Saccharomyces cerevisiae S288C: one gene and its partners. The gene in region 3 interacts genetically with the main gene of each other region. Each region holds a gene or a part of one and is shown on either strand. Other genes may lie near its edges.

Region 1 (3,447 bases), on a different chromosome or scaffold from region 3:
AGATAGCGAAAGCGTATTAACTCAATGGTCAAAAAACAATACGGATAACTTACCAAAAGAATGGAAGACATTAAAAGAGAACTGTGTAGGGATATTTTCAGACATAGAAAATAGTAGCAGATTATGGTTTTGGGGGGCTACTTGGATATCAAGAATAGACTTTGATGTTGACTTCCCTATAAATAAGAGAAGAAAACAGAAAAAACGTACACACGAAGGGCTAACTATCACAGATGAAAGTAATTTCATGAACGACGAGGAAGATGACGAAGATGACGATATTGATATGGAAATCAGCGAAAACTTGAATGTATTATTAAACCAAGGAAACAAAATAAAGTCCACAGATGTACAAAGAAACGAAGAAAGCTCCGGTCACTTCTTCTTTACTGATAAATATAAACCTTTACTGTTTGTTGACTTAATTTCTAGTAATGAATTGGCAATAATTGAAAGAAATCCATTAACTTTTCACTCCAAACAAAAGGCGTTTATTCAACCAAAGTTAGTGTTTTGATTAATTTAAGTCAACATACCGAAGAATAGAGAGATGCTATTAAAAGGCTATCATACTCTAAGGGCATTTTTCAGTTACAAAAAACTCTAATGGCGTTAGTACTTTATAGAAACTCGCTAATGTAAAATAGCCAAGCACATACGCAGACATATATATGTAGTAATCACGTATGCAGACATTAAATGTGAGCCATTTATTGGTATAAATGTATTCCTGAATTACAAAAGTACTGGCGATGGAATCACTCTGGCTATCACTGTTATTTCCAGGCAGGGTAATACTTTGGGAAAACAATAGAATAATGAAAACATATGATCAGTAGCTAAATTGACCGACCTAAAGAGCAAAGCCGGATCTCATGGTTTTTAAAGGGATATCACCGAATTTCCTGGCGACTTATCTATTATGGATCTTGAAAATGTTTCATGTCCCATTTGTCTAAGGAAGTTTGATAACTTACAAGCACTAAATGCACATTTAGATGTTGAGCATGGGTTTAACGATAATGAAGATTCACTCGGTTCCAATGACAGTCGTTTAGTCAATGGTAAACAAAAAAAGGCCAGATCTGTTGATAGCAGTGCGCAAAAGTTGAAAAGAAGCCATTGGGAAAAATTCAAAAAAGGGAAGAGCTGCTGTCACACATGTGGAAGGACTTTGAATAACAATATTGGCGCCATTAATTGTAGGAAATGTGGTAAACTGTATTGCAGAAGGCATCTTCCTAATATGATTAAACTTAATCTTTCCGCACAGTATGACCCCAGAAACGGGAAATGGTACAATTGCTGCCATGATTGTTTCGTCACAAAACCTGGCTATAACGATTATGGCGAAGTAATAGATTTAACACCAGAATTCTTTAAGGTACGAAATATAAAAAGAGAGGACAAAAACTTAAGGCTATTACAATTAGAAAATCGGTTTGTCCGTCTAGTTGATGGTCTGATTACACTCTATAACACATATTCTAGATCCATTATTCATAATTTGAAGATGAATAGTGAAATGTCCAAGTTAGAACGTACAGTTACTCCATGGAGAGATGATAGAAGTGTACTCTTTTGTAACATATGTTCCGAACCATTTGGGCTATTACTAAGGAAGCATCACTGCAGATTATGTGGTATGGTTGTTTGTGATGATGCAAACAGGAACTGCTCAAACGAAATAAGCATAGGTTATTTAATGTCTGCAGCGTCAGATCTGCCATTCGAATACAATATACAGAAGGATGATTTACTTCATATTCCTATATCCATAAGATTGTGCTCGCACTGTATCGATATGCTATTTATTGGCAGGAAATTTAACAAGGACGTTAGAATGCCGCTAAGTGGAATATTTGCTAAATATGATAGCATGCAAAATATATCCAAAGTAATTGATAGTCTCCTGCCCATTTTTGAAGACTCATTGAATAGCCTGAAGGTGGAGACTGCCAAGGATTCTGAAAATACACTTGATCCAAAGAATCTGAATGATCTCGCTCGATTAAGACATAAATTACTCAATTCTTTTAACTTGTATAATACACTAACAAGACAGCTCTTAAGTGTAGAACCTCAAAGTCATCTAGAGAGACAACTTCAAAATTCGATCAAGATAGCTTCCGCTGCATACATAAACGAAAAAATCCTACCGTTGAAGTCGCTTCCGGCAATTTTGAACCCAGAGGGCCATAAAACGAATGAAGATGGGCAAAAAGCTGAACCAGAGGTAAAGAAATTATCGCAACTAATGATCGAAAACTTGACCATAAAAGAAGTGAAAGAGCTGAGAGAAGAATTGATGGTCCTAAAGGAACAAAGCTACCTTATTGAGTCCACAATTCAGGACTATAAGAAGCAGCGTAGATTGGAGGAGATCGTCACACTTAATAAGAACTTAGAAGAATTGCACTCAAGAATACATACCGTTCAATCGAAGCTGGGTGACCATGGGTTTAATTAAGACATATCTTTATTATTCGATCATTCGCGGAATCTCCACGCTAATTGGTCCGCGGAGCCAATCAGATCTATTTAAGGGTATAAATTTTTCTTTAGTTTTTTTGACTTTTCACACAGAAATTTTAGATAAAAGGAAGTATTATATCGGAACATAACGTATATAGGAACTAGCTGAGTGAGTTAAAGGATGTCGACAGTTAATGTTTTGAGATACTCTGCGTTGGGTTTGGGGCTATTTTTTGGTTTTAGAAATGATATGATTTTGAAGTGTAATGCTAAGAAGAAAGAGGAGCAGGCACAGTACGAGGAGAAATTGAAGCTGGTAGAGGAGGCAAAGAAGGAATACGCCAAGCTACACCCTGTAGTAACTCCTAAAGATGTGCCTGCGAACGCCTCATTTAATTTGGAAGATCCTAATATAGATTTTGAAAGAGTTATTCTTAACGCCGTTGAATCCCTGAAGGAAGCTTCAACATAAATAGAAGCTTCAACATAAATAGGATACTAAAAATGCACATTAGCTCGCACTGAATGACGAAGTTATGATGGATTCTCGTTCGCTAGATGTTCCATATTTTTTTCTTCATTCGTTAGTGCACAAACAATAAGGAAAAAAATGAAATGTATATATTCTAGAACATACTAATATCATACGTATCGTATTGTAAACAAAATTCACATTCCAAAAATTTTTCAGATTCTTACTTTATATTATTTGCATCAAGCTTTATTAACAATGACACGTTATTTTATATGTACAGGATACTATAATGTCATACTATTTAGGATCACCTTCTAACTCTGCTAAAAACCCTTCCAGGTGGTAGGCCATATTTTTCTCTGACGGCGGCGACTTTGGCATCCCATTCGCTTCTCCAGATATGTGCCCCAATAGCGGTTAGATTGTATTTCTTCGTAAATTGCCTGATATCAAAATCATCTCTACTTAGTTCCTTTCGGTCAATCTCTAACATGTTA
Region 2 (4,389 bases), on a different chromosome or scaffold from region 3:
GGATGCAGTGCAGATATAGGCTACTTAGTTGGTTTTGATACAATTGCTAGGATCTTTGATGAAAAATATTATCATCCTTTAAAAATCAGTGATGTAATGGAGAGCTTCATGTCGGGATCTCAATTATATTGCTTGGCGAGAGGCGATTGCCATCTCAGTGCTGAATCGCAACTAAGATACGCCAGTGACATCCTTGAGGGAAAATTCGAACCGGTAATACCAAGAGAATGGGGCGCTAGGATTCATGTTATGCAAAATGATTATCCAGCATTAAGAAATGTTTCATCATCCGAGATTAGGAACAAACTGAAGAATGGGCAAGTGGAGAGTTTGAAAGACGAGTTGCCATTGTGCATATACGATTATTTGATCAATAATAAGACAATATTTGATTGAAAGAGAAAGATAGAAATTCAAATGCCTTTCATGGAGATATATGTATATAGATAAAGATAATATTAGGAACAAAAAAAACTTTCTGTTATACTAGACTAGTAATCTTAAAACAATAACATAGCAACAAGGCATGTACCAAAAAGAAGGGGGTCCAATTGCATGCTTGGATTTGCTGAGTTCGCGTATTTTGAAATCACTCTTTTCTTGGAGTCTTCACCTTCTTGCGTTAAATCTTTGTACCCTTTTTCTATGATTGTACCATCCTGTTTAACATTCAGCGTATTTTCCTTCTTACCAGAAATACAAGTGAATTTCCCACCCCTGATGATTGATCTTCCATTTGATGGGTTTGTCCATTTATTGCAATCCAACACGTTTGATGAACTCTTAATAAAAGCGCTACCTTTCACCAGTTTCAAGCTATCGAACATGATATCTTTGAACGAACCTTCAAAGAAAATAGCACCTCCAATCTGCTTCAAGTTTGGCAGGAAAGTAATATCCTCGAGGGATTCGTTATCGGCGATCATCAAGCCACCTTGAATGTCTGTTAAGTTCTCCAAATTAACTTTTATTAAATTTACATTGTTGATAATTCCTAATGTTCCACCAATCTTCTGCAAATTGTTCAGGTTCAATTCGTAAAAGTAATTTTCGATGAACTCTAAAGAGCTTTTCACTTTTGTTAATTGTGGAAGGTAGACCAATGATGTGTCCCTAATCGTTATGTTTTCCACTTCTCTCAAGTGTGGCATTTCAAGTTCTAGCTCCTTAGCGTTCGCATGTACACTGAATTGTCCCCTAATGGTTTTAACGTTCGAATGAATAGTTTCTAAAAATCTGTTATTATTGATATTGAAAGTATCAATTTCCTGAACCTTGTTGAAATTCTCGATGTTTGCTAATGAAGTATCCGATATGACAATATCCTTTATAATCTCAATATTCTGAGAATCCATGGAGACGTAGTTCAAGATGGGAACAACTTTCCACTCCAGTGACTGACAAAATTTCAAAGTTGGAATTTCAACAGAAACCAAAGAGGTTAGTCCCTGTAATTGGAAGAGCCCTTCGATTTTATTCAAGTTCCCGGCTTGGATTCTGATCAGTTCAGGTGAATCCTGAATAATCAGGTCACCACCAATGGCCCTCAAGCTGTTCAAATCCAAAATGTTAGAATCATAGTTTGTGACTTTTAATGACCCCAAGATGAATTCACATTGGTTTTGTAAATGAAAAAGATCATGAGACGATTCAATGACGTGCAAATCTTTTTTACACAACTCTGATATCGGTGAGTTTGTGTTCAGACTCTTGACATCTATTTCAAAAAACGGTTCATTTGCTCTTCTTTGAAGTTCGAGATTACCGTTATGAAAAGGCTTCACATTATGTGGTCGCCTTGGCGGATCAATAGCGGCACCCAATGCATGTGTCACAAATAATGATGCAAATATAATCGCGAATAAACAACTTTTCCTAGTAATACGGTTCATAAGTCGATCAAGTAATGAAAAAATGGCTTTTGGTTTTCCTTGTTGTATTTCAGATGAGATATCTTACCAACAGAACAAGTTTCTCTATTGTATGTCACAAAAGGATATAGCTTCTCCAAAATCTTTCTTTTTTATATTTTTTTTTTTTTTTTTTTTTTTGAATTAGTGACGCATCTTCTGTACAGTAAAGAGAGAAAAAAAGGGTATAATAAAACAGTTAAGCTATACTATAGTAGCGCATACACACAACGTATATACATCTAGTATTAAATATTAGTAATTATTAAATAACGAAAAAATAAATTATGGTTGAAATAGAATCAAACGTAAAGAACAAAGAAAAAGCTTAATGGAACGAAAGTTAAAAAGCTCCCCAATTTTGAACAACGGTTATGGAATTAGAAAGAAAGAAAAAAATAAAGGAAATAAAAATGTTCCTAGAATAAGAAGGCAACACCGGCAGCGATTGCTGCTCCAAAGGCACCCGCCGCCATGGTATTAACTACGGCTTCGCCAATCGAAACTGTCGTAGTCACCGAAGCGGTAGGAAGAGTAGTATTTGGCTGCGTAGCATTTGGCTGCGTAGCATTTGGAGTAGTGGCGTTAGGTTCAATGCCAACTTGGGCGTTGATAGCAGTGACTGTAGCTAGAACAGCGACAATGTTTTTGATTTGCATTATTTAACGGAAGTATAAGGTTTGAAAAGGGAGCTTTAATTGTTTTAGCCGTTATCGATTTAGCGGTGAGAATGAAATAAAGAAAAGAGGAAGAAAAGACATTACATACAAATTTTTTTCAACTTAAATGGAGGTTATGTACTTTCTTATATAGATGCTAATCTTTTTTTTTCATCTCATCACAGATTTACGTCGTCAATCTACTAACTTCCCTTATCTTCCCTAAAGGGTATCTTACGTTTCCCCTTAGGGAAAATGAGTTTTGTCCCACCTTCCCTTTGGGAAAAGGCAATGTAAATCTTAGAGGCAAGAACCACACTTGTTGATAAGATCAGCTGCGTAACAGTGCGCTAGGCAAAGGGATGGAATAAGATAAATCCCTTGTTATCCCTTTGCTTTTAGTCTTATGTTGGGGAAGTCCACAAGTTATTGTTACATAAAGGAGGAGAAGAAAACTAGGGGAATATTTATAACACTCGCATTAGCTGATCGTAGGAAAGCAACACAAAACATATGCATCAGCTGGCCCTGTTTGTCTTGCTCATCGATTGATTTTGCAAGCAAAGCTGGGATACCCGAATGTGTATGGTTTTCCTTTTTTTGGTATTTTTCTCCTATAAACGAGCTTTTTTTCGTCTTGCATTCAGATTTAAATAGCTGCTTCTAAATATATACTTTACGCAAGAGGGTCCGGTCCCAATAGGAACCAAGCTATTGCAATTCCAGGGTTCAAGAGAGAAAAATCTGTAATCACTTCGAACCAATGTTTAGTAAATACCTCGTAACTGCATCTTCCCTCTTTGTGGCTTTGACCTCTGCAGCATCTACCGTTGATCTAGATGCTCTGCTTCTTCTACCAGGGGTCGAGTCCCACGACGGCGTTGATACTGTATTTTCGACCAAAGACTTTTATCAAGTGTCATTCGTCAAATCCATTGCTCCTGCTATCGTAAACAGCTCCGTAATCTTCCACGATGTTTCTCGTGGTGTGGCTATGGGCAATGTCAAGAGCAGAGCAAGTATCTTCAACCCAGAGGAAACGTATTACGATTGGGAACAGTACCAAGTAGTAAATAACGGAGACTGGCGAACCGAATGGGCACCTGCCTCTGACTGCATTTGGAGGGAGGAGAAGGATAACAGCGACGAAACACCGGACAGATTCCCCATCTCGGTGCCATATAATTGGACGTCACAGTACTCAATTGTAGATTATGACACAGACGCTAACGAAGACAATTTAGATTTCAGGTTTATTAAATCATTGCTAGATAAGAAAAATTGGTTGAAAAAAATTAACCAGACTGTTTCCCAATCCAGTATTATGGTAGCACCAATGATTAGGCCATACAATGTGGTCCAGCTTTGGTATTCAAAAGATATGGTTTGGGCAAACGTCCAAAGACAATATTGTAGCGGTGTTTATCCAGGAGGGACTCAATGTAGCGCTTGGTCCAGGTACTACCATGTTGATGCACCCACCTGCGATGAGCCTGTCGCCTCTTACATGACCAAAATGTTGGAAAATGAGGTTCAGTGTCCCAATGAGAGAAACGCAACTACCCTAGAGCCTCTCCGCCTGAATAAGCAGGGAGACTCTGATTTTTCTTTGACTTTCGAGGAAGAGGAAGAGGAAGAGACAGGATCTAAATCTCTTTGGAGTACATTGAAAAAAATTTTCTCTAAAAGAAGTATAAGTTGATCTTAGTTGGTAGCACTTTGATGAGGTCTCTAGCAAAAAGTCTACAAACAAATTCTTGAAAGTGTTTGATTGTATATCGATATATCAGAAACATACATATGATTTTTATCTTGTGAAT
Region 3 (7,375 bases):
GGACATTCAAATTTTGGTGGTGTCTACTATTGTGCCCCATCTATGCTGGTTACAAGTTATATGGCCTCAAAAACATGTTCATGCCTGGCGCTCAACAAACTCAGGCAGATAATCGCTCAAAAAATGCTAATGAGGGACAATCCAAATCCAAAAGGCAGATGAAAAGGGAGAGGAGGGGTGAAACTGACTCTAAAATTAAGTACAAGTATCGTTAAACAAAGCTTTTCAAACGTTTTTGAAATTTTTTGCTTTCTATAGAGGAGTGTGAGTATATACAAAATAATATTTAGATATACTTAAAATGAGCATGCTACACAGGTATCTTCCAAAACACTGTCATAACGAAATTCTTATAGCCGTTCCATAAACGGGAACAATATGGGGGCAAAGTACGGCTGACATATGCATCCAACCTAAGGACATATTGTTTAAATATCTGCCTCATAGATTCACTTTGTAGGTACCTTAATTTGAAAAACCATACATAGGTTAGTCCTGCCAACATTGTACCCACTACCTCAAACGACACGTTTGCTCTTCTTACCAACAACAAGAAAAAATTGAAGGGCACTAAGAAGAGGCCCACACGTAGGCCGCAGATAATCTCAAATACTTGCGCCATCTGTAAGAAAAATCCATTGTAGTTTTGGATGAATACCGTTATTTTGGAGTTCAACAAATTTTTCAAATTAAGTGGTATCAAAGGCAAAAATGGCAAAAGGTTTTCCTTAAAATAGTTCAGGAAGTGAAAGATTGAAAAGATAACGGGACTGTATAACGAGCCGCTGATTATGATGTTAAACTGTGATAAGAGAAAAAGTATGAATAGCATGGCAAAATACTGCAAATTATCCAATTTCTTCATCTCTTGGCGCAAAAGCGTAAAATTGAACTTTAACTGGTCACTTTTGAAAAACTGGTAAAGAACGATGGCATATGTAACGGATATGTAAAATAATGATCTTCTATAGCATGACAATTGGTTTTGTTTGGACGTGATTGAAAGATGAAATTGTATAAAGTTAAAGATGGTTAAAAAATGGCCTATAAACCAATAAAACTGGGGTTGTTTTATTCTTGATTTGATAATGGTGCCAAATGGTGCCATGGGACGATTCCTGGGAACGGTCATATTGTTTTGTGCTAATTTTTTTTTACAATTATTCGAAATGAGTCTTGTTTGATCGTGGCCCCTTCTTTATTTCTGATTCCAAATCGAATTTTCAACTCTCTTATTAATATTTTTTCGGTGTGGATGAGAAGAAAAAAAATTTTTCTAAACTCTTCGAGAAAAGAACAATGAAAAGAGAACAGTAAAACGTCATAAAGCCTGTTAGTTCTTGACATAAAGACGGTAAAAGAATCGCATGTTTTCCAATGGAATCGAGTAGTCGAGTTTTGGGTCCATTCTATACCAAATACTGTCGTTCTCGGATACTAGTGACCATGGACCTGTCGTTCCCTTGTCCTTTCTATTGCCTACTAAGATAGTATCGATAAGAAATTGGATTGGGAACTTCTTGTTGTTGATGGTAATGTGAGAATAGCTTCCTGCACTCTCTAGTATGAGAAGATGGCAGCCTGGGGCACAGTTCTCGTTTAACCGTTGCAGAAATTTTATACTCTCCACTTTTTTCTGTGTAAATAGTTCATTTGTAGTAAAAAGTAGAGTTATTAGGTCGAGGCCTTGATATATCTTGATATCTTGTGGCTCTGTCATTTGTAGGCAGTCCTTGTGGGTAAAGTTGACGTTAAATGACTCTGCTTCTGAATCACCATATAGCCATTTCGACTTTATTGTAGCTGTTAGCTTTTCAACAACTGTGGACCAGTCGGCGATATCTACTAGTTGTATGTTTAAATTTCTAGGCTTTTTGTTTACTTCGTTGTCTATTTTCAAAGCAGAGGCAAATTTAGACGAAAAATCTCTCGATAAAGTGAATATGCTCGCTAATGCAACCAGCTCACCACCAGCGCCGCCACCTATGCAGAGCACATTTGAGTCCTTGTCATCAATTTCGCATCTGATAATCTTTAGAAGCTCAGGGAAATGTGCAAATACTGATGCGTAACTTGTTGCTCTGGACGGTGACCAACGACAACAATATGCTATTCTTTTCGAGTCGTTATTGAAAGCAGCATTGTAATCTCTGTTATAAAGGTCAGATTTTACCGCCTGTATTTGTTCAGTTAACGGTGACTTTTCATTGTCTTGATCTTTTGGATATAGCTCTTCTAAGAATGTTATTTTAAAAAGATCGATTATTTCCTGTGGTGGAAGCGTTGATTTATTGTGAACGGGCAATTGGGCCACTTTTTTAGGATTCATGTTAATTGGAAACTGAGAAGAGTAATGATATTGTGAATAAATTGGTATATATTTAAAATATACTGAAGAAGTTAAAAAGGCAAAGCGTCTCATAAGCAACATCAAAAACGTGCAAAAAGAGACCCTGCGATGAGATGTACTCTAATTCAGAAAGAGAAAAAAAAAAAAAAAAAAAAAAAAAATAAAAATGCACTAAGGGCCCAATGGATTTCTTTTTTTGATATTGAATCATTCATTAAACATATTTATTAGGTTTAGAAGATTTTAATTATACAAAACTTATGCTCTATTTAAAATAATATTAATGAATTTATTCTTCGTCTTCTTCTTCGTCTTCTTCTGGAGTGACTTGGTAGAAGGCCAATCTGTATTCGTTGGTCTTGGTAGAGACAAATCTGATCCAGTCTCTCAATTGGTTCTTCTTCAAGTACTTCTTTGTCAAGTACTTCAAGTACTTACCAGAGAACTTGGCAGTGGAAACAACAGTAACAACGGTACCATCTTCAGTGACAGTGACAGCGTTACCCAAGTTACCGACAGCACCTTCGACCTTGATGTGGTCGATCAAGTACTTAGCGTAGGAAGCTGGGTCGAAGACACCGTTTTCAGTTGGAGAAGAGACATCGACGGTAAAGGTCTTGGCAATCTTTTGCTTTCTGGAAGTCTATATCAAAAAAATTAAAGATTGAAAATTAGTAAAAATTTTCAGAACAGTAATGTTAGTAAAAAACGAATATTTCACGATTTTCTTTCAATCCCGAAACCACAAAGTTGCCTACTGCTATTAACAATCACATATGACAATCTCAAACAAAAAAACATTCAGAAACGGATAAAAAGAAGGGAGTCGATATAGAGTTCAATGTTCAAGTAGTGAATTTTTAAAATACAGAAAAGCAACTAAACACATAGACGCTTCTTCGTTTCGTACATTTTTATTTTTTTTTTTTTGGTTTTACTATCTTCCTTGTTATTCGCGTACAATCAATCATTACAATAACAGTAAAACATAGACTTCGTAATCGGGCGTGGATTCCTTTTAAAGTATCATACGTTTGGGGCCATTGTTTCTTAATCTGTTGTTTTGGTGGTTTATAATTTGATAACGGTAAAGTACAGGTAAAGTTGTTAATCTCAATTAATAATGTACATATTGTATGCAGCTAAATGATAGTTTGAAACATTTTAGGAAATTCTCGGTAAGATTTGTTCGCGTGGCCTGTTGAGGATTTTTTCAAAAGAGAAGCGCACTGAGGTGGAAAGGAAAAACAAATTAACATAAATGTATGGATGTATTATTAAATGTACTGATGTTTATCAAAAAAACTGTCTTTGAAAGTTAAGTACAAGCTAAACATTTACTCAGTAGCGGTAGTAATATTATATAAAACATGGTAAACTTTAGTTGTGTTTCTATATATAGATATATATATGTGTCTATCTATCTATATAAGTTTTATAAATCAGTAAAAATTTTTGTTAGAACATTACATTATAGGAAGACTTCGGCATTAACCTCTACAAAGGATGCAGCGAATGGAACGTCGAAATTCATCATGACTTCAGGATGCAAGACACCCAAGTGGCCGATTTGCTTTGGCTCAGCGCCTTCTTTGGATCTGAACATGACCTTGGCACCTCTACCTGGGAAGTAGGTTTTCACAGAATCGTCTTCTTCAATCCAGTAACCTCTGCCAGAAGCAGCAGCACCGTAGTCTGCAATCCACTCTGTTCTAAAAGTTTGCATGATTTTACCCAATAACCCTTGAATGATTTCAAACCCAGAATTCTTACCCACGTAGATGGCAGCCCAGTGACGTTCATTGTACGCCTTCCTTTCTAGTTTGTCGTCTTTAAATACAACGTCACCGGTTTCAAAGACTTTGATTGGCAAGGAATGTTTTCTGTTTTCCTTGACTGTCTTTAAGATACCAGGCAATAAAGTGGTTCTAACAACTTGGTATTCCAAAGTCTTTGGGTTGGCCAATTTGACAGCTAAATCACCATTGTCGGATTGTCTTAGAAATTTAAAGTTTTCATCGTGCGAACATAAGGTCAATGGTAAAACCTCAACCCACGTGGCTTGAGAGGATGCAACTCTGAAAATATCAGAAACCTTGTTGATTGGTAATGGTTTGGCAATGAAGTTGGCATTGGATAATTTCTCACCCTTTGGCAAATTATTGAAACCATAACCGACAGCGGCATCTTCCATTATATCACAAGCGTGCAAAATATCAGGTCTAGTTACCGGAATGTCAACGTGCAAGATGTCCTTGTCTTCCTTTGATTGAACGGCATGCAACGACATCTTCTTTAGACAATGAGCAATTTCATCAGCGGATTGATCTAGGCCAAGACAGGAGTTGATGTACTTAATGGAGACATCCATAATTCTATCGTTGAAGTTTGGCGCCAAACGGGATTGGCCATTGTGTTCAGAGACAATTTCTACAGGCTCAACCGTGAATGGTTCGTCACAATAACGTGAGAACATTGTAGTTAATATGTTCAAAACGATCTCGGCTTTGGTCTTATCGGTGGCGGTTATATCAATCAAAATGTTACGGGTGTTCACAGAGATCTTCGAATGTTCACTATTGATTAATGGTGGCAGGGAGCAAACACGATCTTTGCTGTCCATAATAACTGGGAAGACTGGAGAATCCTCAATAATGTGAACGTATCTCCCTATGTTGTTTTTCTGTTCTGGAGATTTATAAAACTCGATCAATTTGTCACCAGTAAACTCTTGGGTTTGATTCAATGGTACGAACTTGATGTCCTTTGGTGGTAGAGCTCTGTAATGGAATGGACCTTCAATTGAATCTAAATCGTGAGTACCCATGGCAACCAAGCTTCTGTTTCTACATAGATTGGCATGTAATTTATCTTGCAAGGCAATAAAAGAAGCGTAAGATTTTTCGTTAAGCTTGATATTTCTCAATACAGCAGCGGTAGCAAAAGGTCTAATTTGCTCCGTTGATTTGTCGATGATCAACTTAGTGGTTGGCTTGCTTAATTTATAGTCAGGTCTTTCTTTACGTTCCAAGTATTCGTTCAGCGACTGTGAAATACCTTCGATACAAAGCAAATCGTAACGATTGGCACTGATATCAAGCTTCAATTCCGGCTCCTCCCCGGTTTTCAAGGCCTCCTCTGTGGTGTCTTCGTCCATTTCCATACCGAATTCAAAACATAATTCATCGAACTCTTGGGAAGTGTAGTTTTTGCCTAGAAGATCAAATAATTGCTGCTTGTTCACGGAGACGGTAGGCATGCTGGCTCGGTGTTATTGATGTGTGTTATGCTATTCTGCCCTATTTTTTGAACATTTGATCAACTCCAGGCTTTCGAGAAATACATTGAAAATTTTTCATTTCCTTCAATTTTCTTTCTTTTTTGGTACCGATTCTGAATAATCGGTCACCTCGTGTGTCGTGATAAATAATCAAGAAGATGTACTTTTATACAAGGGTTGTAGTCATCTGGGACACTCTCAGAGCACTGGCTCTGACGACAACCATCAAACGCATGCTCATACGTATAATTCAAGCCTTACATACACTGGTATTCCCTTTGGGGTGTTTCTTTTTCCTGTCAAGTTGGGCACTTAAAAGAACTAATAAAAAATCAGTGTGAACTTTTCGATTTGCAAAGAAAATGAAAAAAAAGAAAAGGAGCTTTCACAAATAAACAGAAGAGATCAAGATGAAGTGGTTGTTGTTTCCGGCAAGAATCGTAGCTCGCACTCGCCCAAACCTCTTCTCGCTGTACAGAAGATCCGTTTCACAGTACTTACGTCCTCGAACCATCCAAAACCTGCAATCAATGGCGCAAACACCCGAACTTAAAACCAAGCTGTTCAAACCCTTGGTCTGGATCGACTGCGAGATGACCGGTTTAGACCACGTGAATGACAGAATTATCGAGATTTGCTGCATCATCACCGATGGACACCTGGCACCCGTCAAAGCGGCCGATGGCCAAGGAGACTCGCATTATGAGAGCGTCATCCATTATGGTCCCGAGGTGATGAACAAAATGAACGAGTGGTGTATTGAGCACCACGGTAATAGCGGTCTCACCGCCAAAGTTTTGGCAAGTGAGAAGACTTTGGCCCAGGTAGAAGATGAGCTGCTCGAGTACATCCAGCGCTACATCCCAGACAAGAACGTTGGCGTCTTGGCAGGCAATAGTGTACATATGGACCGCTTGTTCATGGTCCGCGAGTTTCCCAAGGTCATTGATCATCTCTTTTACAGAATAGTTGACGTCAGTAGCATCATGGAAGTTGCCCGCAGACACAATCCCGCTTTACAAGCACGTAATCCAAAAAAAGAAGCTGCCCACACTGCTTATAGTGATATCAAAGAGAGCATAGCTCAATTGCAATGGTACATGGACAACTACTTGAAGCCACCACAGGAAACAGAGTCGGTCGAGTCAATCGGATCTGAACAGCCGGAGTCACCATCTTCATCTACCTCATCTTTGAAAAGACAACGCACCGATTTTTAATGTAGAAAAAAAAAAAGAAAAAAGAAGTGAAATTTTTCAAATATTTCACACACGAAACATGACTCCTGGTGAGAAATGACCCTTTCAGGTTGCTTTGACCATAAAGGTTTGACTCTATCTCTTGGGTTTCTCATGTTCGCTTTTTACTCTGTATAATTTTTAAATTCATAATCATCTTAGACCGAACCATGAGTCTTCTTCATCTTGTTTTATATATAATGCAGAACTTGCTTCCCTTAGTTTGCGTTCAGTAATCTTTCCTTCTTCTAGTGTAACCTTTACGAAAGATACTACCCCATAGCAAAGCATAACAGCTTAAACCGAATCCTCCTTAACATGCCTTACACTCTATCCGACGCTCATCATAAGTTGATCACCTCTCATTTGGTGGACACCGACCCTGAAGTGGACTCCATTATCAAGGATGAAATTGAAAGACAAAAGCACTCCATCGATTTGATTGCTTCTGAAAATTTCACCTCAACCTCCGTTTTCGATGCCCTTGGAACTCCATTGTCCAACAAA

Evidence for each region.
Region 1: mutations in RPL22A (region 3) and TIM11 together harm fitness more than expected from each alone (negative genetic interaction), as found in Saccharomyces cerevisiae (2 studies listed by BioGRID).
Region 2: mutations in RPL22A (region 3) and SPS22 together harm fitness more than expected from each alone (negative genetic interaction), as found in Saccharomyces cerevisiae (2 studies listed by BioGRID).

Annotation. Positions count from the first base shown.
Region 1 is NC_001136.10:1,111,503-1,114,949, reverse strand, and holds TIM11 (F1F0 ATP synthase subunit e), read left to right. Parts: upstream 1-2,656; coding exon 2,657-2,947; downstream 2,948-3,447. Other genes in the region: small subunit rRNA maturation protein UTP4, read left to right, coding at 1-517; PEP7 (phosphatidylinositol-3-phosphate binding protein), read left to right, coding at 923-2,470; mitochondrial 54S ribosomal protein mL38 MRPL35, read right to left, coding at 3,258-3,447. UniProt on the Saccharomyces cerevisiae protein: Mitochondrial membrane ATP synthase (F(1)F(0) ATP synthase or Complex V) produces ATP from ADP in the presence of a proton gradient across the membrane which is generated by electron transport complexes of the respiratory chain.
Region 2 is NC_001135.5:39,668-44,056, reverse strand, and holds SPS22 (Sps22p), read right to left. Parts: upstream 1,893-4,389; coding exon 501-1,892; downstream 1-500. Other genes in the region: POF1 (nicotinamide-nucleotide adenylyltransferase), read left to right, coding at 1-396; YCL048W-A (uncharacterized protein), read right to left, coding at 2,330-2,569; YCL049C (uncharacterized protein), read left to right, coding at 3,333-4,271. UniProt on the Saccharomyces cerevisiae protein: Redundant with SPS2 for the organization of the beta-glucan layer of the spore wall.
Region 3 is NC_001144.5:259,213-266,587, reverse strand, and holds RPL22A (60S ribosomal protein eL22 RPL22A), read right to left. Parts: upstream 3,395-7,375; coding exon 3,383-3,394; intron 2,994-3,382; coding exon 2,640-2,993; downstream 1-2,639. Other genes in the region: SND2 (Snd2p), read left to right, coding at 1-215; PER33 (Per33p), read right to left, coding at 311-1,132; BMT6 (25S rRNA (uracil2843-N3)-methyltransferase), read right to left, coding at 1,334-2,431; FRS1 (phenylalanine--tRNA ligase subunit beta), read right to left, coding at 3,822-5,609; REX2 (Rex2p), read left to right, coding at 6,041-6,850; glycine hydroxymethyltransferase SHM2, read left to right, coding at 7,187-7,375.